5 linked regions of the Macaca fascicularis genome follow. The protein of the gene in region 1 interacts with the protein of each later gene in a pairwise test. Links are inferred from orthologs where the notes say so. Each region holds a gene or a part of one and is shown on either strand. Other genes may lie near its edges. The genes, in order: TPM3, SYCE1, KXD1, TNNT1 and LURAP1.

The links.
Region 2: the proteins of TPM3 (region 1) and SYCE1 interact in binary tests that used the Homo sapiens proteins (3 or more experiments, as listed by UniProt). The two-hybrid records come from large-scale screens. The link is inferred for Macaca fascicularis from reciprocal best matches to the Homo sapiens genes TPM3 and SYCE1.
Region 3: the proteins of TPM3 (region 1) and KXD1 interact in binary tests that used the Homo sapiens proteins (3 or more experiments, as listed by UniProt). The two-hybrid records come from large-scale screens. The link is inferred for Macaca fascicularis from reciprocal best matches to the Homo sapiens genes TPM3 and KXD1.
Region 4: the proteins of TPM3 (region 1) and TNNT1 interact in binary tests that used the Homo sapiens proteins (3 or more experiments, as listed by UniProt). The two-hybrid records come from large-scale screens. The link is inferred for Macaca fascicularis from reciprocal best matches to the Homo sapiens genes TPM3 and TNNT1.
Region 5: the proteins of TPM3 (region 1) and LURAP1 interact in binary tests that used the Homo sapiens proteins (3 or more experiments, as listed by UniProt). The two-hybrid records come from large-scale screens. The link is inferred for Macaca fascicularis from reciprocal best matches to the Homo sapiens genes TPM3 and LURAP1.

What each region holds. Positions count from the first base shown.
Region 1 is NC_088375.1:106,992,058-106,997,222, forward strand, and holds part of TPM3 (tropomyosin alpha-3 chain), read left to right. Parts: intron 1-247; coding exon 248-365; intron 366-467; coding exon 468-538; intron 539-1,342; coding exon 1,343-1,418; exon of another isoform or gene 1,419-1,957; coding exon of another isoform or gene 1,958-2,033; intron 2,034-2,734; coding exon 2,735-2,797; intron 2,798-2,975; coding exon 2,976-3,045; intron 3,046-4,059; coding exon 4,060-4,138; intron 4,139-5,165. UniProt on the Homo sapiens protein: Binds to actin filaments in muscle and non-muscle cells. Plays a central role, in association with the troponin complex, in the calcium dependent regulation of vertebrate striated muscle contraction.
Region 2 is NC_088383.1:142,661,561-142,667,370, reverse strand, and holds the start of SYCE1 (synaptonemal complex central element protein 1), read left to right. Parts: upstream 1-2,311; 5' UTR 2,312-2,336; coding exon 2,337-2,409; intron 2,410-5,810. UniProt on the Homo sapiens protein: Major component of the transverse central element of synaptonemal complexes (SCS), formed between homologous chromosomes during meiotic prophase. Requires SYCP1 in order to be incorporated into the central element.
Region 3 is NC_088393.1:18,950,703-18,956,312, forward strand, and holds the start of KXD1 (kxDL motif-containing protein 1), read left to right. Parts: upstream 1-2,073; 5' UTR 2,074-2,557; intron 2,558-5,610.
Region 4 is NC_088393.1:63,018,478-63,024,433, reverse strand, and holds the start of TNNT1 (troponin T, slow skeletal muscle), read left to right. Parts: upstream 1-2,283; 5' UTR 2,284-2,329; intron 2,330-3,418; exon of another isoform or gene 3,419-3,468; intron 3,469-5,404; 5' UTR 5,405-5,415; coding exon 5,416-5,447; intron 5,448-5,548; coding exon 5,549-5,562; intron 5,563-5,863; coding exon 5,864-5,887; intron 5,888-5,956. UniProt on the Homo sapiens protein: Troponin T is the tropomyosin-binding subunit of troponin, the thin filament regulatory complex which confers calcium-sensitivity to striated muscle actomyosin ATPase activity.
Region 5 is NC_088375.1:188,481,781-188,487,394, forward strand, and holds the start of LURAP1 (leucine rich adaptor protein 1), read right to left. Parts: upstream 3,557-5,614; 5' UTR 3,464-3,556; coding exon 3,266-3,463; intron 1-3,265. UniProt on the Homo sapiens protein: Acts as an activator of the canonical NF-kappa-B pathway and drive the production of pro-inflammatory cytokines. Promotes the antigen (Ag)-presenting and priming function of dendritic cells via the canonical NF-kappa-B pathway.

The sequences.
Region 1 (5,165 bases):
TCAGGTGATCTGCCCACCTTGGCCTCCCAAAGTACTGGGATTACAGGCGTGAGCCACCGCACCCAACCATAACAAAACATTTTAAATGAAATAATTAAACTAAGGTGTGGGAGTAGTAACATGGAATTTCCATTTGAAGGGCAGATAGAGAGGAATGGGCTTTTAAAAGTACAATTCTGAGACCCTTGGAGTGGAGCTGACGACACTCCTCAGGGTGTCAGTATTGCTTTTGTCCTGTTTCTGGCAGAGGTATGAAGGTTATTGAAAACCGGGCCTTAAAAGATGAAGAAAAGATGGAACTCCAGGAAATCCAACTCAAAGAAGCTAAGCACATTGCAGAAGAGGCAGATAGGAAGTATGAAGAGGTAAGTGACTTTCTGTTAGTCCCTCTCTCAGCCTTTTACAAAGAATAATGTGGTAAATGGCTCCTTTGCTTCACTAAGCTATACTGGGATCTTTTCCTGTAGGTGGCTCGTAAGTTGGTGATCATTGAAGGAGACTTGGAACGCACAGAGGAACGAGCTGAGCTGGCAGAGTCGTAAGTATCTAGCTCCCCAAATCTTGTCATACCAATTTGTCCCTTCCCCTTTGGCTTGGGCACTAATATGAATAAATTAGCATTCCTTCAACCTTGTTAAACAGGGCCTAGGAAATGGGAGTCATCTATAGTGCTTTTTTAGGCCCAAGAATGGTTGTAGACTTCCTTATTCTCCTGACTAGTGACAAGTGACAAAAGAGGCTTTCTTATTTTTTGTTGGTAGGTTTTACAAATTGAGAGCAAATAAGGACTAATACATGGTGAACAGTTAACTGGAAGATCCTACTGGGTCCTTCCACCTGGGGTGGAAGACATCAAAGTGGCTATCCTGATTTAAGATCTGGTGTCTGGCTGGGTGTGGTGGCTCACACCTGTAGTCCCAGCTACTTAGGATGCCAAGGCAGGAGGATTGCTTGAACCCAGGAGTTGGAGGCCAGCCTGGGCATCACAGGGAGACCCTGTCCCTAAAACAAACAAAATTAAAAAAAAATAAATCTGGTGTCTGTTTTTGCCACTTTGCCAATCTGCTGGGGAACTTTAGGGCAAGGGTAGATACTAACTGCTCCCCTGTTGGTACCTTCTCGGCCTTGATTAACAAAGTCAGTGCTGATGCATATATATTTGTGCTTCCCTCTTACATTCCCGTCTGCCAGACATAACATATCATGACCATGGTGGTGTTCTCTTCCCATTTTTTGAATTTTTTTTTTTCGTTTTGCTGCTTGTTTTCTTGCTGTGTTCCTTTTTGACCGTTCTCCCTCCCCACAACCTGGCTTGTGCCATCCCCGTGACTATCACTAACAGCCGTTGCCGAGAGATGGATGAGCAGATTAGACTGATGGACCAGAACCTGAAGTGTCTGAGTGCTGCTGAAGAAAAGGTACTAACCATTAAACCCACAGCAAGGTTATATATATGGTGTGGTTTTGTTTTGTTTTGTTTTTGTTTTGCAGCTGCCTCCCCTCCACTTGATTTTGTTGAGTGCTGTCTCATCTCTTCATGGAATGCTCCATTCTTTTCCACTTACTTGGCATCTTTCATCTCTTCTTTCCTAGTTGCTTTACTGCCTCTCCGCAGGGTCTCCTTCCTTTGGGTGATTTGGGGGACTGTTTGGGTTGGGCATTTGTTCCCACCTCCACCCCAGGTAGCAGTTATGACTCATTCCTGGTAGTGGATTTCTCTCAAGTGCTTTATTAGTATTCAAACATTTTGAGCCCAGGAAGGTCTAGCTCCTGACACGTTCTATGGTAGAGGGAGGAGGGTTGATGCTTGCTCAGGTTACTTGGGAACATCTCTTCCCCAGTATGCCTTCCAACTCTCTCTACATATAGGTTCAATTCACGTCTGTGTGTCTCTCTCCCTTTTTTTATTCTCTTCCTTTTCCCTTTTCCTCTCCTGTGGTATTTAAAATATTCACAGTAAGTGTTCTGAGCTGGAGGAGGAGCTGAAGAATGTCACCAACAACCTCAAGTCTCTTGAGGCTCAGGCGGAGAAGGTAGGGGCTGGTTTGTGAAAGTGACAGGCTTTGGGGCCTGGGCCCAGCCCTGCCCTTGATGAAAGACTGGAGACACCCATTCCATATATAATTCAGTGAGGCGTGTCCTTTTCCTACCTCCTTACCATGTATTCAGGTTCTGGGTTTAATGCTACTTTCTGTGCACTTTGATTGCTTTAATTAAAATAACTTCATGGTCTCAGGTTACTGGAGTCATGTGCTCCTCAGGCTGATACTGCTGTGCTGAAAAGCAATAATCAGGGGCCCTAACAGGCTTTCTGGCAGACAGATGGGGGCAACAGACAGAATCAGCTCTGAGACCTAATGAGCAATCAAGACAGATGACTTCACTTTGCCATCATGTGGGTGTGTTTTAGTCATGTGACCTTGGGGTGCCACTACTCTTGCTCATTAAGCAGGGGAAAGGAAAAACACCTCCTTGGGTTGATCTGAATAATATCAAAGCTTAGATCCATCTTAAAAAGTCATGGAGAATTTTAACCTGAGGATCTCATGGCTCTAAAGACAGATTTCTGGATTTCAAGGACCTGTTTTCCAGAGCCAGGCCTTGCTCTTACTCTTGGACCATTCAGCACATTTAGTCCAAGAGGATATTCAATGTAAGAGTTAAGTGTAGGGAGGTGGGTATTGCTTGTGTGATTGATTTCTACTCTGAAATTTTTAATCTACTTATCTTACAGTACTCTCAAAAAGAAGACAAATATGAGGAAGAGATCAAGATTCTTACTGATAAACTCAAGGAGGTGAGCTGAGGGGATTATAGGGCAGGACCCAAAACATTTAGAGGTATATAAGACATTAATGTGGACTTAGACTGGCTGGTTTGGGTTCTGAAAGGTCCAGAAGTAGAAGGTGGAAGAAATAGAGATTGTTCTTCTTTGTCTTCATCTCTGATTCTGACTAATTTCATATTTCCCCCAGGCAGAGACCCGTGCTGAGTTTGCTGAGAGATCGGTAGCCAAGCTGGAAAAGACAATTGATGACTTGGAAGGTATGGAACCTTGAGTAGGGATTGAAATAGAGAAATGTAGAGGAAGACCTTGCCCATTAACTATTAATCTCTTCTTCTGTATACCAAAGGAAGTTGGTATGACTTGGCATGTATTAATACGTGCACTGTCCTATGCCACAGCTAGGCAAAGTGGGTCAAACCCTAGAATTGGTTTTTCAAATGTAATCTTTTCCTTTAAGAAGACTTCACCAAATAGTCTGCAATTTGTACCCTTCCCTTTGAGGAGAATGATAATGGCTGCATTAATCTCCAATTTAGTAGTCTTAAACCTTTAGTCTGTGGGTTTAAACGGAAGCCATGATTTCAGAAGGGCAAGGTGCAGGTCATTTCATGGCTACTTTCCACAGTTCTTTTCACCACTCAAGTTGTGGGGTATTTATCCAAGAAATGAAGTTGTGGAGTAACCACATCTGAACACTGACCACTGTCAGGAGCTTTCTAAATACTTTCTGTCCCTGTAAGTTGGTAACTGCCATCCACGCTGACAAGGGGACGTACTCTTTGCTTTGAGAACTCTGATGTATGCTCCTTTGGTATGCTCTCTTGGCAGAGTTGCAGGGGCAACCTGTGAAGCAGAGGGGCCGCTAATAGGGCTCACATTTTATAGGTAGAGAAGTGTCTGAATATGGATGTATGCTATCTCCCTTTGTTATTTTTGTTCAATTAAGTGTTTCCACTGCTAGGAATTGGGTACCTGAATGGGAGTGGTATCCTCTTGAGTGCTTTTGGTAATAGGAATTTCTAGTTATGACTGTGCCCAGGTTCTCAGCCCTTGCTGCAGTCGATTAGGAGTATCAAGAAAGGCAGTTGGTCATGGGAGAGAGTAGATCTGAAAATGTCCAGTCATGGTTGCCAGAGTAGATGTTTTCCTAACTGTGGTATTAGACCCACAGTCACACTTTCCTAATTTCTAATGATTCCCTCTCTTCATCTGCTTCTGAAACCTTTCACTCTGTCCCCTCATTCCTCCCTGTGGTTCCTGTGCCTGTCCAGATGAGCTCTATGCCCAGAAACTGAAGTACAAAGCCATTAGCGAGGAACTGGACCACGCCCTCAATGACATGACCTCTATGTAACTATCTGACAGCAGAGTGGGGCTGGGATCTTGGCTTGTGGGTGGATGGGGGCACAAGCTATGCATAGTGGTGTGCTTTGGTTTTATCCTTTGGAAACTATAATCTCCACCCTTATCTTTGAAACATTGGTGCTGGTTATTTGTTTGGCAAAAGCTCTGGAGGCATGGCCGGGGGTGGTGGCTCACGCCTGTAATCCCAGCACTTCGGGAGGCTCAGGCGGGTGGATCACTTAAGGTCAGGAGTTGGAGACCATCCTGGCCAATATGGTGAAAACCCGTCTCTACTAAAAATATAAAAATTAGCCAGGCGTGGTGCAGTGCGCCTGTAATCCCAGCTACTCAGGAGGCTGAGCCAGGAGAATTGCTTGAACCTGGGAGGCAGAGGTTGTAGTGAGCCAAGATCGTGCCACTGCACTCCAGCCTGGGCAACAGAATGAGACCCCATCTCAAAAAACAAAAACAAAAACAAAAACAAAAAAAACATTAAAGGCCGGGCATAGTGGCTCACACCTGTAATCCCAACACTTTGGGAGGCCGAGGTGGGCGGATGACTTGAGGCCAGGAGTTCAAGACCAGCCTGACCAACATGGCGAAACCCTGTCTCTACTAAAAAATATTTAAAAAGTTAGCCGGCATGGTGGCGCACGTCTATAATCCCAGCTACTCGGGAGGCTAAGGCAGGAGACTCGCTTGAAACCAGGAGATGGAGATTGCAGTGAGCCGAGATGATGCCACTGCAGTCCAGTCTGGGTTAAAGAGTGAGACTGTCTAAGAAAAAAAAGCTCTGGAGGCAATTAATCTTGGATCAGAAGGAGAACCCTGACTGACTTGTAATTTTTATGTTTTGTATTCATAGTTTTTTCATTATGCTGTGATTTTTCTATTTGCTTCTCAAATTTAGTCTTCTCAGAAGGAATACTGCTAGAGGTAGAATCCATACAACTAAGGAAATAGGGCCCACAGAGCCAGGGACTTGGGCCCTGACACATTAAAATAAAATTCAGGCCTCCTGGGTGTGTTTAAT
Region 2 (5,810 bases), on another chromosome or scaffold:
GGGGCTGTGGTGACCCATGGGCAGGGAGGCGACCTCAGGCTGGTTCTGCCCCGAGATCCTGAGGAATCTGACCCTCCCCAAAAGAAGCAATGAAATGGACCAAAGGACTTAAGGATTTGCAGGGAAGTGAGGGGAAAACGATAGGTGCCCAGAAGAGTACACCTCACGGCCCAGAAACACTCTCAAGCAAGAAAACCAATTCTCCAGGAACCCTAACCAAAACCCTAAGTGCAACCCCTACCACTAACCCCTGACCCTAATGCTGACCCTTAATCCTAACCCCTCACCCTAACACCTAATGTCAAACATGAACCCTTAATCCTAACACTAACCCCTAAACCTAAACCCTAACCCTAACCGATACTCCAATCCCAAGGAAAAGCACTAAACCCCTAATCCGAAACCTTAAGCCTAAACCCTAAACCTAACCCACAAACCTGAGCCCAGGCCCCAACACTAACGTTAACCTCTAAGCCCCAACCCTAACCCAACCCCAACACAAACCCCTAACCCCTAATTCTAACCCTACCGGGCATGGACTTTGGGCGCTGGACCCACGCGCAGCCCCCGCTTCTGTCTCGTACTGGGCGGCGCCCTCAGCACCCTGGGGCTGCTACGGCCCTAGGCCTGGCTGGGCTCAGGGGCGACATCTGGCCCCCAGCCCGCCCCGCCTAACCTGACCCCTTACCCTTAAATCCAACCCTAACCCATGACCCAACACCTGAACCCTAACCCTAACCTCAACCCATAACCTCAACCCCTACCCCTAACCCTAAACTCTAGCTGCAGCCCGAGCCCGAATCCTAATGCTACCATAAACCTAACCCCCGAACCCAAACTTGAACCCAACCCCTACCCCTAAAACCCTAAGCTAAACTGAAACCACAAACCCTAACCCCTAACCCTACTGCTACCCCTAACCCCTAACCCCTGAAGCTAAACCTAACCATAACAACGCTAAACTTAAGCACTAACCTAGCCCTACCCCTACACTAAGCCTTAACCCAACTGTAACTCCTAACACTAACCCTAACCTTTAAACCTAACCCCTTACCCTAAACCGTAACCCCTAACCCTAACCCCAAAACCAACACCTAACCCTAACACCTACTCTAAAACACTAACCTCTAACCCTAACAATCCTTAGCCTAACACCCAAACCCTAACCCCTAACCCTGACCCTAATCTTCTATCCTCGAAACCCTAACCCCAAACCCTAACCCTAACATCCTAACCCCAACCCTAAAACCCTGATCCTAACCATTAAACCCTGACCCTAACGATTAAACCCTGACCCTAAATGCTACCCCTACCCCAACCCTCGACCAACCCTAACCCTACCCCTAATCCTTCCCCATCCCTAACGCTAACCCCAAACCCTAACCCCACCCCAACCCTAAAACGAACTTCTAACCCCTAAACCCTAACCCAAACCCTAACTCTACCCCAACTCTAACCTTTATCCCTAACTCTAACCTGTAGCCCTAACCCAAAACCCTAAGGTAACCTTTTATAGGTTGGGATTCGAGGCTTTGTATTTAGGACGGGCGGGTGTTCTGGTGTCTCCCACTCACCCGCACGGGAAGTTCTTCTGTTGGTTCTTCACAACCAGTCACGGTGCATCGCAGCCTCCCCTGGCCGGTGAAGGGCTGGTTCTCCCGAAAGCCTCGGCTCCTCCTCCCTCCTCCCAGTGCCCTCCAGGCCTCCCCGGTGGCCCCAGCGTGGCAGGGCCCGTGCAGAAGGGACCGTGGGCTTGTGGCCGGCATGGGCCGCTGTGGGCATGGAGCTCACGGGAACGCGGCCTAGGGGCAGGCTGCGCTCCTCTGCGCCAGCGGGAACAGCGGGCCCCGCGGGGGCTGCCACAGACGCGTCACTTGCTGGGGTCCGTGCACTCCCGCGGTGGCGTGGCCAAGCAGAGCCGCGACCCCGTGAGGTTGCCGGGGCCATGGCGCCTCGTGGAGTCGTCCGTGAGACACGCACATTTCACAGGCAGTTGCTGCGTGGCACACGCGCACTGGTCGCTCGTGGTGAGGGCCTCCAGAACCAGGGCCGGCCCCCCTCGGAGGCCAGCACACATGCGCGGGAGCACCCAGAACCGGGCCAATCGCGAGCCTGGACGGCCGGACGTGGCCCTCGCGGGCTTTGTAACCCTCGGGCCTTTACGCATGCGCACTAGCTGCCAGGCAGGCCGGCCGAACATTACTTCACATATCCAGAGCGCGCGCGGGGGTGCATTGCGCAGGCGCGCTGCCTGGAGTCCCGCCCCCTGCAGGGGTTGCTCCAATCACCACTGGAGGCTTCCTCCCAAGCCACCCGCGCTGCTGAGCTGAGAGGAAATGGCGGGGAGGTCCCTGGCGTCGAAGGCCGAGCCCACCGCCGGAGCCATGGACGGGGCTGAGAAGGCCGAAGGTAGTGGAGGGAGGCAGGGAACTGTGCGTGAGGGTCTGACCTCGCCGAGGCGGGGCAGGGTTGGGGCGCGGGTGGCGACTACTTCCTGTCAGTCCTGATGGTGCTGACTGAGACTTAGCGGGTTTCTTCAGAAAACTTTCCGCCAAGATGAGGGAGTGCTGGCCCGCACACCCCTCACTTCGTCTTAAAGCATTGAACCTTTATCGTGGTTGCTCCAATTTTGGTTTAGGTAATTAGTCAAAAGACATCCTGTCGTTCCACAGACTTTTCATACACACCTCTTAAAACAAAAAGGACATTTTCCTGACGCTCCCAATCCCAAGGGAATTCCTAATTCCACACTCCTCTTTCTAGAACCAGCAAGTGTCCAGATTTCCCGGTCGCACTAACCTGGTTCTTGACAGTGGGTTCCCCCACCCAGCATCCCGACGCCCCGGGGAGCCGGGGGAGGCCGACTCCCCGCAGATCTCCCGTTTGTTTCTCCCCGACCCCGACCTGCCGTAGAGGCTCCTACCTCACCCTGGGAAGGGAGGGACAAGGCAGCTGGTCAGAGTTGTACAGAAGTCCCGAAATTGCAGCCCAACAAAGAGAAAGAACACTGTCCTGGCCGTTTCCACTTCAGGACGCTGTGTACCTCTGGGTGTTTTGGGAGAATTTTCAAACTTACACAAAAGTGGAGAGAATTGTACGGTGACGTCCCTCCTGCTGTCACTCAACTTGTCACTCTGTCCTGAGCTCATGTGTCCCCCCTGAGTTAAAACGCTGCAATTAACAAACGCCACGGTGGCTGCCTCCAGCCCTACCTGCGTGAATATCATGGCAGGTGCTCTGTCGTGTTCTTACAAAATGAAGGTTTGAATACTGAAACAAGCTTGGCACAGAAAGCATCCCTACAGTGAGATGTGGCACAGTGAAAGCCCCAGTGAAGGACAAAGCAAGTAAACAGGACAGACGCAAACGTATCCCTTTCATTAAGCACCTACTGGCCCGCCACTGTGGTAGCCTTTCAGTATCACAGCTCCATGTTCCTCACATAACCTAGTATATTTAGATAAGGTTTAACCAACGTTGCTTGTGCCTTCGTTCAAACTGCTACAACAGAAATGCCATTATTTCTCACAGTTTTCGAGGCTAGAAGTTCAAGATCAAGGTGCAATGCAGCGTCTGGTGGGGGCCTGCTTCCTGGTTGTAGACTTCTGTCTTCTCATTTTGTCCTCATATGGGGGAAGTTGCTGCCGGCCTCTCTGGTTTTATAAGGGCACTAATCCCATTGCTGAGGGCCCTACTCTCATGACCTAATCACCTCCCAAAGGCCCCACCTCCTAATGCAGTCACACTAAGGGATTAGGATTTCAACATACGAATTATGGATGGGGGCACAAACATTCAGTCTATAGTGACCAGCTACAGAAGAAAGTTAAAGGACAAGATTCCAGTTTTAGTCGGGATGTTATCTAGGATCAGTGACACTAGATACATTTTAGTAAAAGGTCTGTTAGTCTCCATCTAACTGGCTGCAGTTATTACTATAAAGGGGAATGACTGGGGAAAACGAATGTTTGTGTTTCAATTTTTTCTTCATGCTTTTTCACACATGCCAATTACTTGAATAATGTAAAACTTAATTCATAAATTTATGAGCAGTGATTTGTGTAAGATTTCGGGTGGGACCAAAATGAGGGGACTCCATAAACTCAAAAATAAGCATTTCACAAAACTCTATGCTTGATTTTTTTTTTTTTTTTTTTTTTTTTTTTTTTTTTTTGAGACAAGATTGTGCTCTGTTGCTCAGGCGGGAGTGCAGTGTTACAATCACTGCTCACTGCAGCCTTGACTTCCTGGCCTCAAGCAATTCTCCCACCTTAGCCTCTTAAGTAGCTGCAATCACAGGTGCATGTCACCACTCCCAGATAATATTTTTAAATTTGTTATTTGTAGAAATGGGGTTTTGCTGCATTGCTCAGGCTGCTCTTGAACTCCTATGCTCAAGCAGTCCTCCTGCCTCAGCCTCCCAAAAGTGCTGGGATTATGGATGTGAACTACTGAGCCTGGCCTTATGCATGTATCCATGATTTTTAATGGCTGTAAATGATTTATCCTGTGTATGTGCTATAATTTATTTAACAAATTCCCTAAGACATATTTAGGCTTCTTCCAGTTTTTTACTATTATAAACAATATAGTGATGAACACCTTGCGCATTATCCATATCAGAATTACTTAGGACATAGTCTTAGAAAAGAAGATGCACCCAAACTTTTGATATTTACTATCAGAGAGTTTGTAAGGAGACACCTTGATTTTGCATATCTGGTTGACAAAGATGAACACATTTGGAAACACAGGTGGTTGGTAAAAATGAAAAACTGGGCATCTTGTATACATCAGTGGAGGGTAATTTGGTAATGTCGATCAAAATTGTGACAAACTTTGGTCAGGTGCCTCTGAGCCTTCTCAACCATGCCTCGGCCTTGGCCTGTGATATGGTTTGAATCTGTGTCCTCACCCAAATCTCATGTTGAATTGTAATCCCCAGTGTTGAAGGTGGGGCCTGGTGGGAGGTGGTCGGATCACAGGAGACCAGTTTTATTTAGATAGTGACCACCTATCTTTTAACTGGATCTCTGAGCTCTGGGAAGAGGCCACACTGAATCATGGGTGTCCAAAAAGGGAGAATTATTATGAGGCTAGACCACATGGATGCTTTAACAGTGCACTTAAGAAACATTTTTTTTAAAAAATTTCTAAGTGTCTAAAATATACTCTTCCTTAAAAACGCAAGAGTAGCTTCTGTTGCAATAATTAGTAAAAAGAAAAAAAATATATATATATATATCAGGTAACACAGTACAAAAGCAAGCAGTTTAAGAGCTGAGATGAATTTGTCTGTTTACACTCTTGGGAATGCATAAGGAAAAGCAGTTTTCTCCGCAAATGGGAGTCTGATGCCTTCTCCATTTTCTTTAAGGAACCTCATGCTATTATAAACTGTTTTAGGTCCCTCATGCAGCAGAGGGTGCAAGAGAAAGGAGAGACAGCAGAACTAAATGAAGAAAATAGCCTTCAGTCAACTGAGAAGAAAAAAAAAATTTTGCTCAAAAAACACAAGGACCTAGGAGAGAGAAAAAAGAAAAATCATGAAAGCCTTTTAAACACACACACACACAGAGACACACACATATCTTGGATGTTAGCTTTTAATTAAGCTGACTTTTAAGCTTTTGAGTTTCTTTCAAATTTTTTTTCTAAATCTCTTCAACATATTTCAGCTAGGACGAATAGCTGCTATTTCAGAAGTACCAAGTATCAAACCAGAAAGGTCTTGATTTAGGAACCAAACCCAGGCTGTTACGGAAAAAAAGAAGACAGAACCTCAGCTATGGAACTGCAGTGTGGGTGAC
Region 3 (5,610 bases), on another chromosome or scaffold:
ATCCTAGCACTTTGGGAGCCCGAGGCAGGTGGATCACGATATCAGGAGTTCAAGGCCAGCCTGGCCAACAGTGTAACCCCGTCTCTACTAAAAACACAAAAAATTAGCTGCCCATGGTGGCACTAATGTCTCACTTTGTCACCCAGGCTGGAGTGCAATGGCACGATCTCGGCTCACTGCAACCTCCGCCCTCCGGGTTCAAGTGATTCTCCTGCCTCAGCCTCCTGAGTAGCTATGATTACAGGCACCTGCCACCACGCCAGGCTAAATTTTTTTTCTATTTTTAGTAGAGACAGGGTTTCACCATGTTGGCCTGTCTGGTCTCAAACGCCTGACCTCAGGTGATCCACCCGCCTCGGCCTCCCAAAGTGCTGGGGTTACAGGTGTGAGCCACTGCGCCCAGCCTGTTTGTTTTTTGAGACTGGGTCTCACTCTGTTGCCCAGGCTGGAGTGGGGTCTTGGCTCACTGCAACTTCTGCCTCCTGGCCTCAAAAGATCCTCCCACCTCAGCCTCTTGAGTAGCTGGGACCACAGGCTCGGGCCACTGGCCCAATTTTTTTTTTTTCCCCCAGTTGTAGCTGTGAGGCATTTTATTACAGAAATCTGGTACTCGTATACACAAATCAGTATGAACTTAAAATTCATCATACATTTTCTTCCTTTTTTTTTTTTTTTTTTTGAGACAAAGTCTCACTGTTGCCCAGGCTGGAGTGCAGTGGCACCATCTCGGCTCACTGCCACCTCCGCCTCCTGGGTTCACGCCATTCTCCTGCCTCAGCCTCCAGAGTAGCTGGGACTACAGGCGCCGGCCACCACGCCCGCCTAATTTTTTTGTATTTTTAGTGGAGACGGGGTTTCACCGTGTTAGCCAGGATGGTCTCCATCTCCTGACCTCATGATCTGCCCACCTCGGCCTCCCAAAGTGTTGGCATTACAGGTGTGAGCCACCGCGCCCGGCCCATTTTCTTCATTTTTTAGTTTGTCCTTCTTTTTTTTGAGACATGGTCTTGCTCTATCGCCCAAGCTGGAGTGCAGTGGTGCGATCTTGGCTCACTGCAACCTCTGCCTCCCGGGTTCAAGCGATTCTCCTGTCTCAGCCTCCTGAGTAGCTGGGATTACAGGCTCTCGCCACCACGCCCGACTTTTTTTTTATTTTATTTTTAGTACAGACGAGGTTTCACCATATTGGTCAGGTTGATCTCGAACTCCTGATCTCGTGATCCGCCCGCCTCGGCCTCCCAAACTGCTCGGGTTACAATTACGGGATGTGAGCCACTGCGCCCAGCCTGTAAACCCTTTTTAAAAAATTCCCCAGCGCATTCCTCCAAAACAACGTGGAAGTGTAAATGGAAACCAGGATTGGGCGCGGTGGCTCACGCCTGTAATTCCAGCACTTTGGGAGGCCGAGGCGGGCGTATCACCTGAAGTCGGGAGTTCAGGACTAGCCTGACCAACATGGAGAAACCCTGTCTCTACTAAAAACACAAAATTAGCCGGGCATGGTAGCGCATGCCTGTAATTCCAGCTGCTCGGGAAGGCTGAGGTAGGCGAATCGCTTGAACCTGGGAAGCGGAGGTTGCGGTGGGCCAAGATCGCGCCATTGTACTCCAGCCTCGGCAACAAGAGCTTAACTCTGCCTGGGGAAAAAAAGGAAATTTAAGACTAAAATCAGCAAAAGTGGAGCAGGTTTGTCTGAACACAGATGAGTCTGATTCCCTGCCTGGAAAGCAGGACACCTGAGTGTGGTTTGGTCGCTGACCACTGAAGCATTTACGACCTTGGGGAGGGTTACCGCTCTGGGACGCCAGTCAGTCACACCATCTATAAAAATGGGACACTTCTCAGCCTTCCTTCTTTCGGGCTGCTTTGAAGTCTGGGCTTCTGGAAATACGCAGGCGCGAGACGAACTGTTTGATTGGCTATTCATTGTGACGCGCCCGCGAGCTGCAGCTCCGTCTAAGCCCCGCCTAAGCCCCGCCTTTTCCTGTCGTGACTCCACGCACGCAAGCGGCTCCAGGGTACGCCGCCGCCACGCGCGCTCGCACGATCGGTGCGTGGTGACGTTGCGCCGGCGCGGGCGCCATCCCGGAAGCGCGAGCAAGGCCGCCAGATGTGCAGGTGCCGCCGCTACCGACGCCGGGGCCGAGTTTGGGGTGGGGCTGGGGACTCCAGGGCCTCGGGGAACCGGTCCGGGTCGGGCGCGGCCCCCGGGCTGCGGTGGGATGGGGTGCGCCGCTGGCCACATCTGGTCATTCCTGCTGCGCACAGGCATCAGTTTCCCCGTCTGCTCAATGGATACGCAGGCGGCGCCGCGGGCTGGATCTGGATCCGGATCAGGGGCATAGAAATTGGGCCCGCCTGTGTTCTGGGTGTGTCGTGTAACCTGGAGCTGGGCGTTGCCCGGTCTGTGCCTCAGTTTCCCCGTATTGTAGGGGACGGGGCGTGAGGGGGGTATTTGAGCCCCTCCCCACTTGGGGTTTTTCAGAGCTTGGATGGCTGAGTTAAATTCTGTTAAATAACCTGGATATAGAACCGTGGTGCTTCTCTGTCTCTCCATGTGAGTTTTGGCAACTGAGCCCGCCCCTGTGAGCCTCAGTTTCACTCGGAGATGATTGTGTTTGCCTCGTAACAGTGATTGAGGATTAACTGAAGTGCTCTACAAGTGTTTGCCCGTAATATGTTCTTAGAGACCCCTGGGATGCTGTCAAAATGCTGATTCCCGGACCCTGTCCCGGGACTTCTTCACACTCCTCTTGGAGAAACAGCCTGTCCTGAACTCCCCTCATTATCACCTTTGGTTTCAGTTGCCACAGACAGCACTGTGAGATCGTCATTCTACCTTATTCCCGTTTTATGGTTGAAAAAAACTGATTCAGAAGGGTGAAGTGGCTCTCCCATGGTCAAACAGCCTACCTCTCTGCGTTTCTTCAATAAATCTATATTTGGAGTTGGGATCAGAGCTTTTGCTGGGTCAATTTCACTGTGTATGTGGAGCAGACTAGCAGTAATCAGAGAAGGCTTCTTGTGAGAGGAAGTTGCTGGGGGACGGGAGGGAAGTGCCAGGAACCCCCCAGCCCTCACATCTGGGAGCCAGAGACAGAAAAGAGTCCTGTTTTGAAGCAGGAGTGTATCCTAGAAGGTCCCAATACTGTGCCTCTCTGGCACTAGCTATGGACCTCCCTCTCCAGGTGTCTTTCTTTCTATTTTATTTTATTTAGTTATTTATTTATTTTGAGACGGAGCCTCGCTATGTCGCCCAGGCTGGAGTGCAGTGGCCGGATCTCGGCTCACTGCAAGCTCCGCCTTTCGGGTTCACGCCATTCTCCTGCCTCAGCCTCCCGAGTAGCTGGGACTACAGGCGCCCGCCACCTCGCCTGGCTAGTTTTTTGTATTTTTTAATAGAGACGGGGTTTCACCATGTTAGCAAGGATGGTCTCGATCTCCTGACCTTGTGATCCGCCCGTCTCAGCCTCCCAAAGTGCTGGGATTACAGGCTTGAGCCACCGCGCCCGGCTTCTTTTTTTTTAAGTTGAGATGGAGTCTCCCTCTGTCGCCCACACTAGAATGCAGTGGCTTGATCTTGGCTCATTGCAACCTCTGCCACCTGGGTTCAAGCAATTCTGCCTCAGCCTCCTGAGTAGCTGGGACTACAGGTGCCCGCCATCATGCCTGGATAATTTTTGTATTTTTAGTAGAGATGGAGGTTTCACCATGTTGTCCAGGCTGGTCTTGAACTCCTGACCTCAAGTAGTCTGCCCACCTCGGCCTCCGAAAGTGCTGGGATTACAGACGTGAGCCACCACGCCCGGCCTCTGAAACCTTTTCTGATCCAGTAGAAGTAGGTTTCTCTGTTTCTTGGCTATTAAATGTGTGGGCCTCAGAGGCAAACTATATCAAGATCCTAGATTTTTCCTGAACTCCCTAGGAGGGTTAGTGCAGTAGCCCCTCCTCCCCTGGTTGCTTCTGGAAGTCCCTGCCTGCCATTACAGTCATCCGTGTGCCAGTAAAACTGGGAACCTCAGAACCATCTGGGTTACTGGGGCCCACGGATTGGCTGTGAGTGCCTGCAATTCTTGGCTTTAGTTTGCTAATAAAAGTGTCATGTCATGTAATCTCAGCACTTTGGGAGGCCGAGGCAGGCGGATCACGAGGTCAGCAGATCCAGACCATCCTGGCTAACATGGTGAAACCCTGTCTCTACTAAAAATACAAAAAATTAGCCAGGCGTGGTGGCGGGCACCTGTAGTCCCAGCTACTCGGGAGGCTGAGGCAGGAGAATGGCGTGAACCCGGGAGGCAGAGCTTGCAGTGAGCCGAGATCGCACCACTGCACTCCAGCCTGGGCGACAGAGCGAGACTCTGTCTCCAAAAAAAAAAAAATTAAATTTAAAAAAGCATCATGTCAGAGCTGAGTTTGAAAAGTTCTGTTGCCCTTCCCCACAACAACATTGTGACATTCTGGCAGTCCCTTGCTATGAACCAGGTTCCGGGTCAGGCTCTGGTGACAGACACGCCTCTTCCTTTTTTTTTTTTTTGAGACAGAATCTGTTGCCCAGGCTGGAGTGAAGTGGCGCAATTTTGGCTCACCACAACCTCTGCATTCCGGGTTCAAGCGATTCCCCTGCCTCAGGCTCCCGAGTAGCTGGGAGTACAGGTGCCTGCCACCATGCCTGGCTAATTTTTATATTTTCAGTAGAGACGGGGTTTCACTATGTTGGCCAGGCTGGTCTTGAACTCCTGACCTCACGTGATCCACCTGCCTCGGCCTCCCAGAGTGCTAGAATTACAGGCGAGAGCCACCGTACCCGGCCACCTCTGCTTTTTTGGAGCTGACATTGTTGTGGGGGTGACAGGCAAATGGGTTAGCTGATGACTAGGATAATTTCATGAAGATGTGAACCAGTGAAGCAATTAAATCAAGGTAAAGTGTGGCTGGATGCGGTGGCTCATGCCTGTAATCCTAGCACTTTGGGAGACCAAGGCAAGAGGGTTGTGTCAGCCTAGGAATTTAAGAGCTGCCTAGGCAGCATAGCGAGATCCTGTCTCTTAATGAACAAACAAAAACAAGGTAAAGTAGGCTGGGTGCGGTGGCTCATGCCTGTAATCCCAGCAGTCAGGGAGGCTGAGGCGGGTGTATCGCCTGAAGTCAGGAGTTCAAGACCAGCCTGGCCAACATGGTGAAATCTCGTCCCTACTAAAAACTACAAAAATTAGCCAGGTGTCATGGCAGGCACCTGTAATCCCAGCTACTCGGGAGGGTGAGGCAGGCGAATCGCTTGAACCCAGGAGGCGGAGGTTGCGGTGAGCTGAGATCGCGCCATTGCGCTCCAGCCTGGGCAACAGGAGTGGAACTCCGTATCAAAAAGAAATAAAAAAGCAAGGTCAAGTAGTAAGAGAAGCAGTACGAGTGACCGGAATAGCGGTCCCTGACCTCTTGGGAGAGGAGACATTGGAGGTGGTGATGATTTGCTGAGGCAGCCACACACGTTCAGCTTGTGAGGACAGCAGGTGTGTGATGGGGGATGAGGGAGGAAGCTGGCAGATCTGTGCAGATGAGAGGTGCCTGTGGCCTTGGGCTCATGGAAGTGGGAGGTGATGGGATTCTAATGTG
Region 4 (5,956 bases), on another chromosome or scaffold:
GCAGGAATTTACGCTGAGTGGGTTGGCTACGTGCACGTATTCAACTGGTTATAGAAGGAGCTATGAATATTCATGGACAGGTGGACACACACATGTGTGACAAGCAAACATGCATTTTTTTTTTTTTTTGAAATGGAGTCTTGCTCTGTCACCCAGGCTGGAGTGCAGTGGCACAATGTCAGCTCACTGCAACCGCCACCTCCTGGGTTCAAGCCATTCTCCTGCCTCAACCTCTCCAGTAGCTGGGATTACAGGCATGCACCACCAGGCCCAGCTAATTTTTGTATTTTTAGTAGAGACGGGGTTTCACCATGTTGACCAGGCTGGTCTCGAACTCCTGACCTCGTGATTCACCAGCCTCGGCCTCCTAAAGTGCTGGGATTACAGGCGTGAGCCATTGTGACTGACGACAAATATGCATTTTACATGGTGGTGGAGGCTTAATATTTAAGTGCATCCCATTGAATGCATTCGTATGGAAACATGAAGCAGGCATATGAAGGCACCCAGTGCACAGCCTCTGTCAAAAGTCAGAACCAGTCTGTGGTCCGTGGTATCTTATCAGGAGAAAGTTACTGAAATCAGTCTCTCATTCAACTAATGCTGTAGCTATGCGTTGTGGAACAGGGGGTTCAGTTAGTCAGCATCTGGCAATGGATGGCTGCAATTGTTGTAATATTGCATATCTTGAGGCCAGTGTTTGTTTAGCTGCTAGAAAAAGGAAAAGCCTTGTGGCAATTAGAACATAGTTTATTATATAAGTGTAGGGATGCGTGACTTAACCCTTGCCTGGCATGGCCTCAGGTCTTGTTTATAATTTGGTATCTTATTGCCACAAACAGTTCATTCCATCAGTCTTCTGATCTCTATTGTCACAGCACCTCTGGCCCATGTGGAGTGCACAGAGATGCCAAGATTAAAGCTCAAAGAGAGAGACACACAGAGAAACAGATAGGCAGAGAGACATACTGGCAACAGAGGGACTGAGTTGGGAGTAGAGAGAGAAGGAGCCAGACAAAGACCCAAAGAGAGAGGGAGAAAATACCATGGATGCATAGAAGGAAGTGCAAAGAAAGGAGAAAAGAGAGACAGAGGTATAATCACAGCAAGGTGCGGAGACGTGGAGACCCTATAAGAGAGGGAAATGGAGAGCCACAGAGCGGGAACTGCGGGCACTAAGACATGGAGAGAACTAGAAAGACAGAGACGTGAACATGGACACAGAGACCCAGAGCCAAAAAGAGACAGAAATGGGGTCACAGGTGGACAGAAATGCACAGAGAAACTGTGAGCCTCCACGGACACAAACGCTGAGAGGGGCAGACATGCAGAGACACCCACAGAAATGCAGAGACAAAACCACCTAGAGACACATGCCAAGAAACACACTGAGGGACCCAGAAAGAGACAGATGCAGAGAGAGCCCAAGACAGACCCCAGCAAGAGGCCCCAGGAAAAGCACAGAAACACAGAGACGGACCACGAGAGGCAGAGGTACTGAGAGGTACTGAGAGGTACTGAGAGGCGGGGAGGGGAGGAGGCCTGCTCTCCAGGGCCGGCTTGAACCCAGAACTCAAGGTCATGGCTTGGCTAGGAAGCGCGAGGGGGACACCAAAAAGATCAGTGTTAGATGAAGGTGGGGAGGGAGGGGAGGTTTCACCCTAATTGACACCCCCTCTCCCTCCCTCTCCCCACACCTGCTTCCCGGCTTTAGTGCCTGTTGTCACCAGGATGGAATCCTGGTGGCAGACAAAAGGGTGGGGGTGGGGAGGGGGAGACAGAAAGATGGACAGAGACAGAGGGGGAGACTAAGAAGTGGAGACAGACACACAGAGATACACAGATGGAGAGCCACAGACACAACAGAAACGGGGGTCCAGAAAGAGACCATGGTAGAAAGAGGGAACGGAGAGAAGAAAACAGAAAACATTCCTTATAGCCCATTTGTCATTAGTAGGTCCTCCAAGGACCTACTGTGGGCCGGGCGTGGGGACGTCAAAGCACAGGGAGCTGTAAGGGAGGTAGCTGCAGCACCATGAGACCTGGGGGTGGGGTGGGGGCGGGAGCGGGGCTCCTGGGCCGTGCAGATGGGGTTAGCATGGGGTTGGGGAGGGGCCCGCGGAGGCTTTTGGACTCTGAGTGTGGAGCCAGGGGCAGCGGGGCTGTCTCTGAGCTCCCAGACTTGTGTTTGAGCAATGGAATTCTCTCCCCCTCCCTCTCCCTTCGGGGCGGGGCCAAGCCTCCCAGGGCCAGCTATAAACTCCCGGTAGCTTCAGTGCCCTCAGCAAGGCTCAGCCACGAGCTTCCCAGCATCTCAGACACAGCCTAGGTAAGGGGCTCTGTGGGGCCCTGTGGTCTCCAAAGACTGTGTCCTTGCGGGAGGGGGCAGGAGGTGGGTGGGGAAGATGTGGGGTGTGGAGAAATGGTGCAGAGGTAGGTGGGGCAGACAACTGGAAGTCTGGGAACTTGAGAGGCTCAGACTTCAGGGGGACTCAGGATAGAGGGGAAAATACTGGGATTTGTGGGTCACACAGATCCGAACCCGGGGCTGCCAGGACTTGGGTGTCCCAGAACAAAACCTCCTAGGATCTTGGGGTTCTGGGAATCTGGGGGAAATCTCAGCAGTCAGGGATATCTGGACTTGGAGGTCAAACAGTCTGGGTGTCAGGATTTGGGGCCTCAGACTCTGAGGGTATCAGGAATTGGGGGTGGGTCTCACAATCTGGGGTTTTAGGAGTGGAGGCCTCGGAATCTGAGGTATTATGATAGAAAGCACGAGAACTTGGACTGTCATTATCTGGGTATCATGAATTGGGCCTCCGAGGTTAGGTATCAAGATTTTGGGGGTCTCATATTCTTGAGGTTTCAGAATTTAGGTCCCAAGACCTGGGGGTGGTCTTAAGATGTCCCGGCCCATATCTGGACTATCAAGAACAGCTGTGAGGACTCGCTGGTCTCAGAAACATGGGCATCACAGATTGGGGTCTCAGAATCTGTGGGTATTGGGATTTGGGGCTAGGCACCCCGTGGCCTAGGGAATCTCAAAGACTTTGAGGTCCAAGAATATAGGGGTCCGGGTGAGGTCTGTGGACAGAAGGTGCCCTTTATGCTCCTGCCCCCTGCATGATGTATGGGAAGGTGAAAGGGGAGACAGGTGGGGAGGAAGCCAGCCAGCGGGGAGGGGTGAGTGGGAGAGGGGATGAGGGTGACTAATTCTCCCAGAAGCCCCCCTTCCTCAAATCCCTTCTTAGGAAATGTCCTCTGTCTCACCATCTATGACATCCCCCCGAAATAGCTCCTGGGTGTGGGGCAGCTATTGTCTTCAGGCCACTGTCCCTTCTCAAATGCCTCCTCCTAATCCCAGCTGGATCAGGTTCCCATGGACTTGTCATAAGACAAAAGAGGACAGCTGTGTGGAGGGGGCAGGGTCTGCAGCCTCCTGGCTGTGCCAGGACCACATCTACCAAGGTCTGTCCTCATGCGTGCTTTAGGACAGCCAGCCCCCTCCCTCGGACCCAGGAGTCCAGACCTGAGCCCTCCTCCCTCAGACGCAGGAGTCCAGGTCCCCAGCCCCTCCTCCCTCAGACCCAGGAGTCCAGACTCCCAGCCCCTCCTCCCTCAGACCCAGGAGTCGAGACCCCCAGCCCCTCCTCCCTCAGACCCAGGAGTCGAGACCCCCAGCCCCTCCTCCCTCAGACCCAGGAGTCCAGACTCCCAGTCCCTCCTCCCTCAGACCCAGGAGTCCAGACTCCCAGCCCCTCCTCCCTCAGACCCAGGAGTCCAGACTCCCAGTCCCTCCTCCCTCAGACCCAGGAGTCCAGACTCCCAGTCCCTCCTCCCTCAGACCCAGGAGTCCAGACTCCCAGTCCCTCCTCCCTTAGATCCAGGAATCCAGGCCCCAGCTCCTCCTCCCTCAGACCCAGGATTCCAGACCCCAGCCCCTGCTCCCTCAGACCCAGGAGTCCAGCCCCTGGCCTCTCCTCCCTCAGACTCAGGAGTCCAGACCCCCAGCCCTTCCTCCTTCAGGCCCAGGTGTCCAGCCCCTGGCCCCTCCTCCCTCAGAACCAGGAGTCCAAGCCTCCATCCCCTCCTCCCTCAGACCCAGGTGTCCAGGCCCCAGCTCCTCCTGCCTCAGACCCACGAGTCCAGACCCAGGAGTCCAGACCCAGGAGTCCAGGCCCCAGCTCCTCCTCCCTCAGACCCAGGAGTCCAGAACCAGGAGTCCAGGCCCCCAGCTCCTCCTCCCTCAGACCCGGGAGTCCAGACTCAGGAATCCAGGCCCCCAGCTCCTCCTCCCTCAGACCCCGGAGTCCAGACCCAGGAATCCAGGCCCCCAGCTCCTCCTCCCTCAGACCCAGGAGTCCAGACCCAGGAGTCCAGGCTGCAGCTCCTCCTCTCTGACCCAGGAGTCCAGCCCCCAGCCCCTCCTCCCTCAGACCCAGGAGTCCAGACCCCCAGCCCCTCCTCCCTCAGACCCAGGAGTCCAGACCCAGGAGTCCAGCCCCCAGCCCCTCCTCCCTCAGACCCAGGAGTCCAGACCCAGGAGTCCAGGCCCCCAGCTCCTCCTCCCTCAGACCCCGGAGTCCAGACCCAGGAATCCAAGCCCCCAGCTCCTCCTCCCTCAGACCCAGGAGTCCAGACCCAGAAGTCCAGGCTGCAGCTCCTCCTCTCTGACCCAGGAGTCCAGCCCCCAGCCCCTCCTCCCTCAGACCCAGGAGTCCAGCCCCCAGCCCCTCCTCCCTCAGACCCAGGCGTCCAGGCCCCCAGCCCCTCCTCCCTCAGACCCAGGAGTCCAGCCCCCAGCCCTCCTCCCTCAGACCCAGGAGTCCAGGCCCCCGGCCCCTCCTCCCTCAGACCCAGGAGTCCAGGCCCCTGGCCCCTCCTCCCTCAGACCCAGGAGTCCAGCCCCCAGCCCTCCTCCCTCAGACCCAGGAGTCCAGGCCCCTGGCCCCTCCTCCCTCAGATCCAAGAGTCCAAGCCTCCATCCCCTCCTCCCTCAGACCTAGGTGTCCAGGCCCCAGCTCCTCCTGCCTCAGACCCACGAGTCCAGACCCAGGAGTCCAGACCCAGGAGTCCAGGCCCCAGCTCCTCCTCCCTCAGACCCAGGAGTCCAGACCCAGGAGTCCAGGCCCCCAGCTCCTCCTCCCTCAGACCGAGGAGTCCAGACCCAGGAGTCCAGGCTGCAGCTCCTCCTCTCTGACCCAGGAGTCCAGCCCCCAGCCCCTCCTCCCTCAGACCCAGGAGTCCAGACCCAGGAGTCCAGACCCCCAGCCCCTCCTCCCTCAGACCCAGGAGTCCAGACCCAGGAGTCCAGCCCCCAGCCCCTCCTCCCTCAGACCCAGGAGTCTAGGTCGCCCCCTCCTTGGGGCCCCACCCCACTGGGCCTCTTCTCTCTGTTTCTTAGGCCGCACCAGGATGTCGGACACCGAGGAGCAGGAATATGAGGAGTGAGTGCCGCACTGGGAGGGGTTGGGGCGTGCAATGGTGGAGAGGCTCTCCCACCCCAGGTCTAACTCTCCCCTCCCTCTTTCCCCACACCCGTCCGCAGGGAGCAGCCGGAAGGTGAGTAGGGAGTGGGCCGGCCCCTTGGGATGGAGACACCCCCAGGAACTCTTGGGACGGGAGGCGAGGCTTGTGTCACCCTGGCGGGGAAGGGGCAGCTCAGCCCTCGGGCCCTCGCCCGCCCTCTCCGGGTCTGGAGCGTCTCCCCGTGCCATCCCTGCACCGCCAGGGGGCACATGCCCAACGCAGCCGAGGCCAGAGGGACCCCCGGTCCAGCAGAGGCTGGAACCTTGGTCTCTGGCCACTCCCCGCACCCCTGCCCGAGCTCCTAACGTTTTCTCTTCTGTGCCCCCATCTCCAGAGGAGGCTGCGGAGGAGGAGGAAGGTGAGGTCCCGGACTCCGCAGGTCTGGAGCTGGGGGCGGGGGGCTGGGGGCGGGGACGCTGGGCCCGGG
Region 5 (5,614 bases), about 81 Mb from region 1:
CCCTGAGAGCAGATCCTGCTCAATCCATTTCTGGTGCTCGGCCTAGGGCTAAGGAGGTCACATTCAGTTCTGTGATTCTCTTGCCTTTACTATCCTTGACCCCTTTGATGGTTCCCAGGATTCAGGGGTCTGGGTTGTACTGTGTTGCTGGGAAATGAATCTGAGAGCAGATTCTATAATCCTGTGACAGTGGGATTCCCTGACTGTGACAGCATCACTCCCAGAATAGAAGAAAGCAAGGCTTTCTTGCCAGAAAAAGAAACACTCTTTTCACACGATCTCTTGAAGAAAATAGAGTATAGGATAAACAGCTCAGGAGAGAGGCAGCCTCAGAGGCAACTCCAAACCCAATTCTCTTTCCAAGGAGATTCAGGCTCCCTACTCCTCTCCTTAACATCTACATATCAGACTCTGCCCAGCGCTGGGGTTCTGTATGGTTTCCTCATTGCTCAATCCAAATCAGGCCCTGGGGTAAAAGCCTGGAAATCCTAGTTGGAGCTCCTAGAGCAGGGACTATCAGAATATTGTTACTACAAAGGTTCTTACGATCATCTGGTTCCACAGTCCCCATCTCCCTCTACTCCCTCCACCAAGAGGAAGAAAAACTGAGGCCAGGAGAGAGAAAGAGTACTGCTCAAGACCACAAAACGTTTCAGAAGCAGAGCCAAGACTTGAACCCGTGCCTTCTTCCTCGCCTAAAGCTTCTTCTCAGACTGCCTCTGTGGAGGTGGGTTGTCATAGCAACAGTTCTTTGGGTGGGAGAACTAAGAAGAGGTTGCCACTGTTTCCCATTCCCACATATCCCAGTCTGGCTTGTTCACTCAACCTTTGAATGGTGGGTAGAGGAAGAAAGCAGGAGGGATGAGGCCTAGAGGCGGACTGACCTTGGCCTCAAGGGTAGGCCTCCCCACTTTGTGCAAGGAAAGCTGGGAGAGGAACAATTGAAGGACAGTCCTTAGAGGGCTTGAACCAGTCCTGCCTTCATTAGCCCCAAGGGAAACCCCTTGCCCCACTGCTTGTCCTTCCTGGGTGCAACCCAGTAGGCAGGGCAGAGCACAGGAAGAGATTAATATTAATAACATCCTGTCCTGAGGAGGGAGAAAAATAGGATGGGGATCTCTCCTCGTTCTGGCCCCAGAAGGCTCCCTCCCTTGTGCCCTTTCTCGGGCAGCCTCAGGCCCCAGGCAAGCAGGGTCAAGAATACAGAGAGACAAAATCAAAAGTTAAATGCAGCCCCTTAAAGTTTACAGATCGTTTCCACCAAGGCAGAAAAGAGAGCCAGAGAGACTAGGCGTGGCTCTTCCACTGACTCCCTATGTGAGTTCAGAATCTGCAAGCATGTTTTATCTGTAAGATGGGAGAAATGATGACCAGTTTTCTCATTTCAATGACATAAAATGTGTTTAGACTATCTGGCACAAAGCAGGTCTCAAAGGTAAACATGCAAAGTGCAGTCAGATGATCTGGGTTCAAATCATGGCCATGCTTTTTGTGTGATCTTGGGCAGTTATTAAACTCCCTGTGCCTCTGTTTTCTTTTCTCTTTTCTTTTATCCTCCCTCCCTCCCTTCCTCCCTTCTTCCCTTCCTTCCCTCCTTCCCTCTCTTTTTTTGAGACAGGGTCTAGCTCTGAGCTCTGTCACCCAGTCTGGAGTGCAGTGGTGCGATTTCAGCTCACTGCAACCTCCTCTTCCTGGGCTCAAGTGATCCCCCTGCCTCTGCCTCCAGAGTAGCTGGGACTACAGGCATGCACCACAACACCCATCTAATTTTTGCAGAGACAGAGTCTTGCTTTGTTGCCCAGGCTGGTCTCAAACTCCTGGGCTCAAGTGATCTGCCTGCCTCAGCCTCCCAAAGTGCTGGGATTACAGGCGTGAGCCACCATGCCCACCCTGTGCCTCAGTTTCTTCATCTATAAAATATCACTTACTTAACATGGTTACTGTGGAGATGAAGAGAGTATCAAGTAAAGTGCTCAGCAAGCTGCCTGGCACATGTGCTGGGTGAAAGTTAGTTTTCAAAGCAACTAGACAGTCTAGGTAGGCTCTTACTAGGCCTTGAGCTAAAGTTTGTACAGCGAGACAAAGGCAAACCCCTGCTTAGGTGGGGACAGTCACAGCCTTGCTCTGGAGAATTTGGCACTCACCTCCAACCTTCAAGGCCAAGTGCACACTTGGCATTCAAGTCCTTCTCCCAGAGGGCCTTTCCTGGCTGCTCCACCCACCAGACTCTCTTCCCAGTCTCTCAGCTCAGGCATTAGAGCCCTGGCTGGTCTAAGAGCCCCCATGACTTCCTTCCCCTGCTCCTTCACAGACCAGCTTGGCACAGGCTGCGCACACAGTGGGGGTCCAGAAAGACTTATTAGCTGACATATTCACTGTGGGCTCCTGGTTGTAAGCCAGGAAGCTGATAGCAATTCCTCAGTTCCCCAGAACTGGCTGCAAAGTAGTGGCAGGTGTAAATCACCCACTTCACCGGAATCAGGGCCCTGAGGAACATGCCAGGGCCTTGGCTGCCCTTTTGGCTCTGAATCTAGACCAGCAGCAACAGAGAAACGGGAAGGTTGCTGTTTCCTCTTCTCCCCAAGAATGTGCAGATGAGATCCAAATATCCAGTTTACCTGGGAGATTGGATGGGAGGAGACTGAGTCTGAGGTGAGGGAATCAGCACCAATGGTGCTGTTACTCTCTGTTCCTGCTATGGGTCTAGGAACTTTCCATTATTTTAAGTAGGGCTGGGGGATGTAGAGGAAATGGAGAAGGTTTTCAGTGCCCCTGGTCCAGACAGTTTACAGCAGATAGGCCCCTTTACCCACATCTTTTCTGTGCTGAACACTGCGGGCCTCACAGGAACTAAACCCTTTCCCGGTTAGCAGAAGGAGAAAAAACCGGTTGCCTTACAACGGGGACTGGGGGGGAATAGGTGGCCCATACGGGCGGGGGGAATTTGTGCTGCGTTGGGTTCTCAGTACTTCCCAGTACTCATCTCTCTCCTCCCAATTATTTGGCAGGAATAACTTCCAAAACCCACGGCTCCCACCCCAATTCCTCAGGACCTATCAACACCCCCACTCACTCTTGGGGGACAATTAATGGATGTCACTCCATCTCCACCCCAGCGTTTACGGATTGATCTGGGAGGGATTCTGAGCAGTTAGGTGGAGAGTTTTAACTACCTCCTCTCCAGCTTAACTCTGAGAGCATGAGTTCGTCCCTCCTGGCCCTAAACTGGGGACTCGTCCCCTTGGCCCATGGAGTCTGCACTCACCAGCTCCATCTTCAGCGCCATGATCTTGTCCCCCAAGTCGTGGCCGGTGCTAGGCGTCCCTGGGAGCAGCAGGGCGCCAGAGGTTCCTAGGTCACACTCGCCTCGCAGCCCACGGAGCAGCCCTTCAGGGGTCTTCCTGCCCACCTTACCCTCCACATCCCGCAGGTCAGGCGTCTGGGACTCCACGGTTCCCTCCATGCGGGCCCAAGCCTGAAAAGGGCTGGGCAACCGGACGCCAGGGACCGGCTCGCGGGGGTCCTCCCTTCGCCGCTGCTAAAGCGGAGCAAAACCGGTGGGTCCCCGCCCGAGAGCCGCGCGGGCGGCAGGAGGGTGCCGTAACACTCAGAAAAGCCGCGCAGCACTGTCCGTGGGTATATTCGAGTGCTGCGCACACAACCTCCGGCCCTGGATTGCGTGGGGCTGGGCGGTTCTGGAGTTGGACCTGAAAGAGCACTCGGAGACCTCAGCGCCTTCGCCCCACCCTGGCACTGAATCCAGCCAGGCACACAGCAGGCGCCCAATACATGTTTGCAGAATGAAGTCTAAGCAGCTTCAGTCAGAGATGTGGGAGTTTAAGGAACAGTGGTAACAGAGAGCTGCAGAAGGCTTGGAAGTCTTCCTGGAGCAGAGGAATTGGGTCTAAAACGATGGCTGGATTTTAGTCAGACACACACACAACACCCCAGGGGCTAGAATTCAGACTAATGGAGTAGAAAGGGGCAACCAGTATTGAAGCTGAAGAGGTCCACATTGAGCTTACAAGCAAGATCCTCCTCCTTAAACTTGACTGTGCATATGAATTATCTGCGGATCGTATTAAAATGCAGTTCTGATTTTGTAAATCGGGGTGGGGCCTGAGATCCTGCCTTTTTTTTTTTTTTTTTTTTTTTGAGACAGAGTCTTGCTCTGTTGCCCAGGATGGAGTGCAGTGGCACGATCTCGGCTCACTGCAAACCACTGCCTTCCCCGGTTCCAGCGATTCTCCTGCCTCTGCCTCCTGAGTAGCTGGGATTACAGGCATGCACCGCCACGCCCAGCTAATATTTTTGTATTTTTAGTAGAGACGGGGTTTCACCATGTTGGCCAGGCTGGTCTTGAACTCCAGATCTCAAGTGATCTGCCTGTCTCGGCTTCCCAAAGTACTGGGATTACAGGTGTGAGCCACTGGGCCCCGCCAAGATCCTGCATTTCTAATAAGCTCCCAGGTCATGGCCATGCTGCTGGTCCACGCTTCAAGTAATAAGGGACCACACTTTGATAACAAGGTTACAGAAGATGGTTCTGAGATGTTTGGGTTTTATTTAACAGGTAATGAACAGTCATGAAAACTTTGGTTTGTGTAGGCTTGTAATTCAAGTAATTCCAGCCCGTGGTTGCAGAAGGATTTACAATGAGAAGATAGTTACCCCTGCCCTACCCTTTCACACCTCTAGGCCCACTCCCAATTGGCAAAAAGTAACTTTTAGTTTTTGGGGGGTTTTTTGTTTTTTGTTTTTTTTGGTGTTCATACCCGTAATGTTATTGTTTAGAGTTAACTAAAAGTGATTGCCAACTGGGAGTGGGCCTAGAGGTGTGAAAGGGTAGGGTAGGAGTAAATATTTTCTTATTGTAAATCCTACCACTCCTTTTTTTTTTTTTTCTTTCTTAGAGACAGAGTCTTCCTGTGTTGCCCAGGCTGGACTCAACTCCTGGGCTCAAGCAATCCTCCTGCCTGCCAAGCAACTGTGACTACAGGAGTATGCCACCATGCCCAGCCACACTGCTTCTCAATTTTAAACATTCAACTGCTGTTTATTATCATATTCAGATAAATATGGATATATGGGTTTAACTCACACTCTGTAGTTCGTTTCCCCTACTGGCACTATTTATTTCTCTCTTTTTTTTTTTTTTTTGTCACCCAGGCTGGGGTGCAGTGGCACAATCTTGACTCACTGCAATCTCCCCTCCCGGGTTCAAGCGATTCTCCTGCTTCAGCCTCCTGAGTAGCAGGGATTACAGGCACGTGCCACCACGCCCAACTAATTTTTGTATTTTTAGCAGAGATGGGGGGGGGTTTCACCATGTTGGTCAGGCTGGTCTTGAACTCTTGACCTCGTGATCTGCCTGCCTCGGCTTCCCAAAGTGCTGGGATTACAAGCGTGAGCCACTGCGCCTGGCCTGGCACTACATATTTCTATCACTCTTTTTAGTTCATCTAATGGTTACCTTTGTAATTAATTTTTTTAAAATTATGTAGATAGAGTCTCGCTATGTTGCCAGCCTGGTCTTCAACTCCTGGCCTCAAGCAATTCTCCCACCTCAGCCTCCCAAAGTGCTGGGATTACAGGCATGAGCTACCATGCCTGG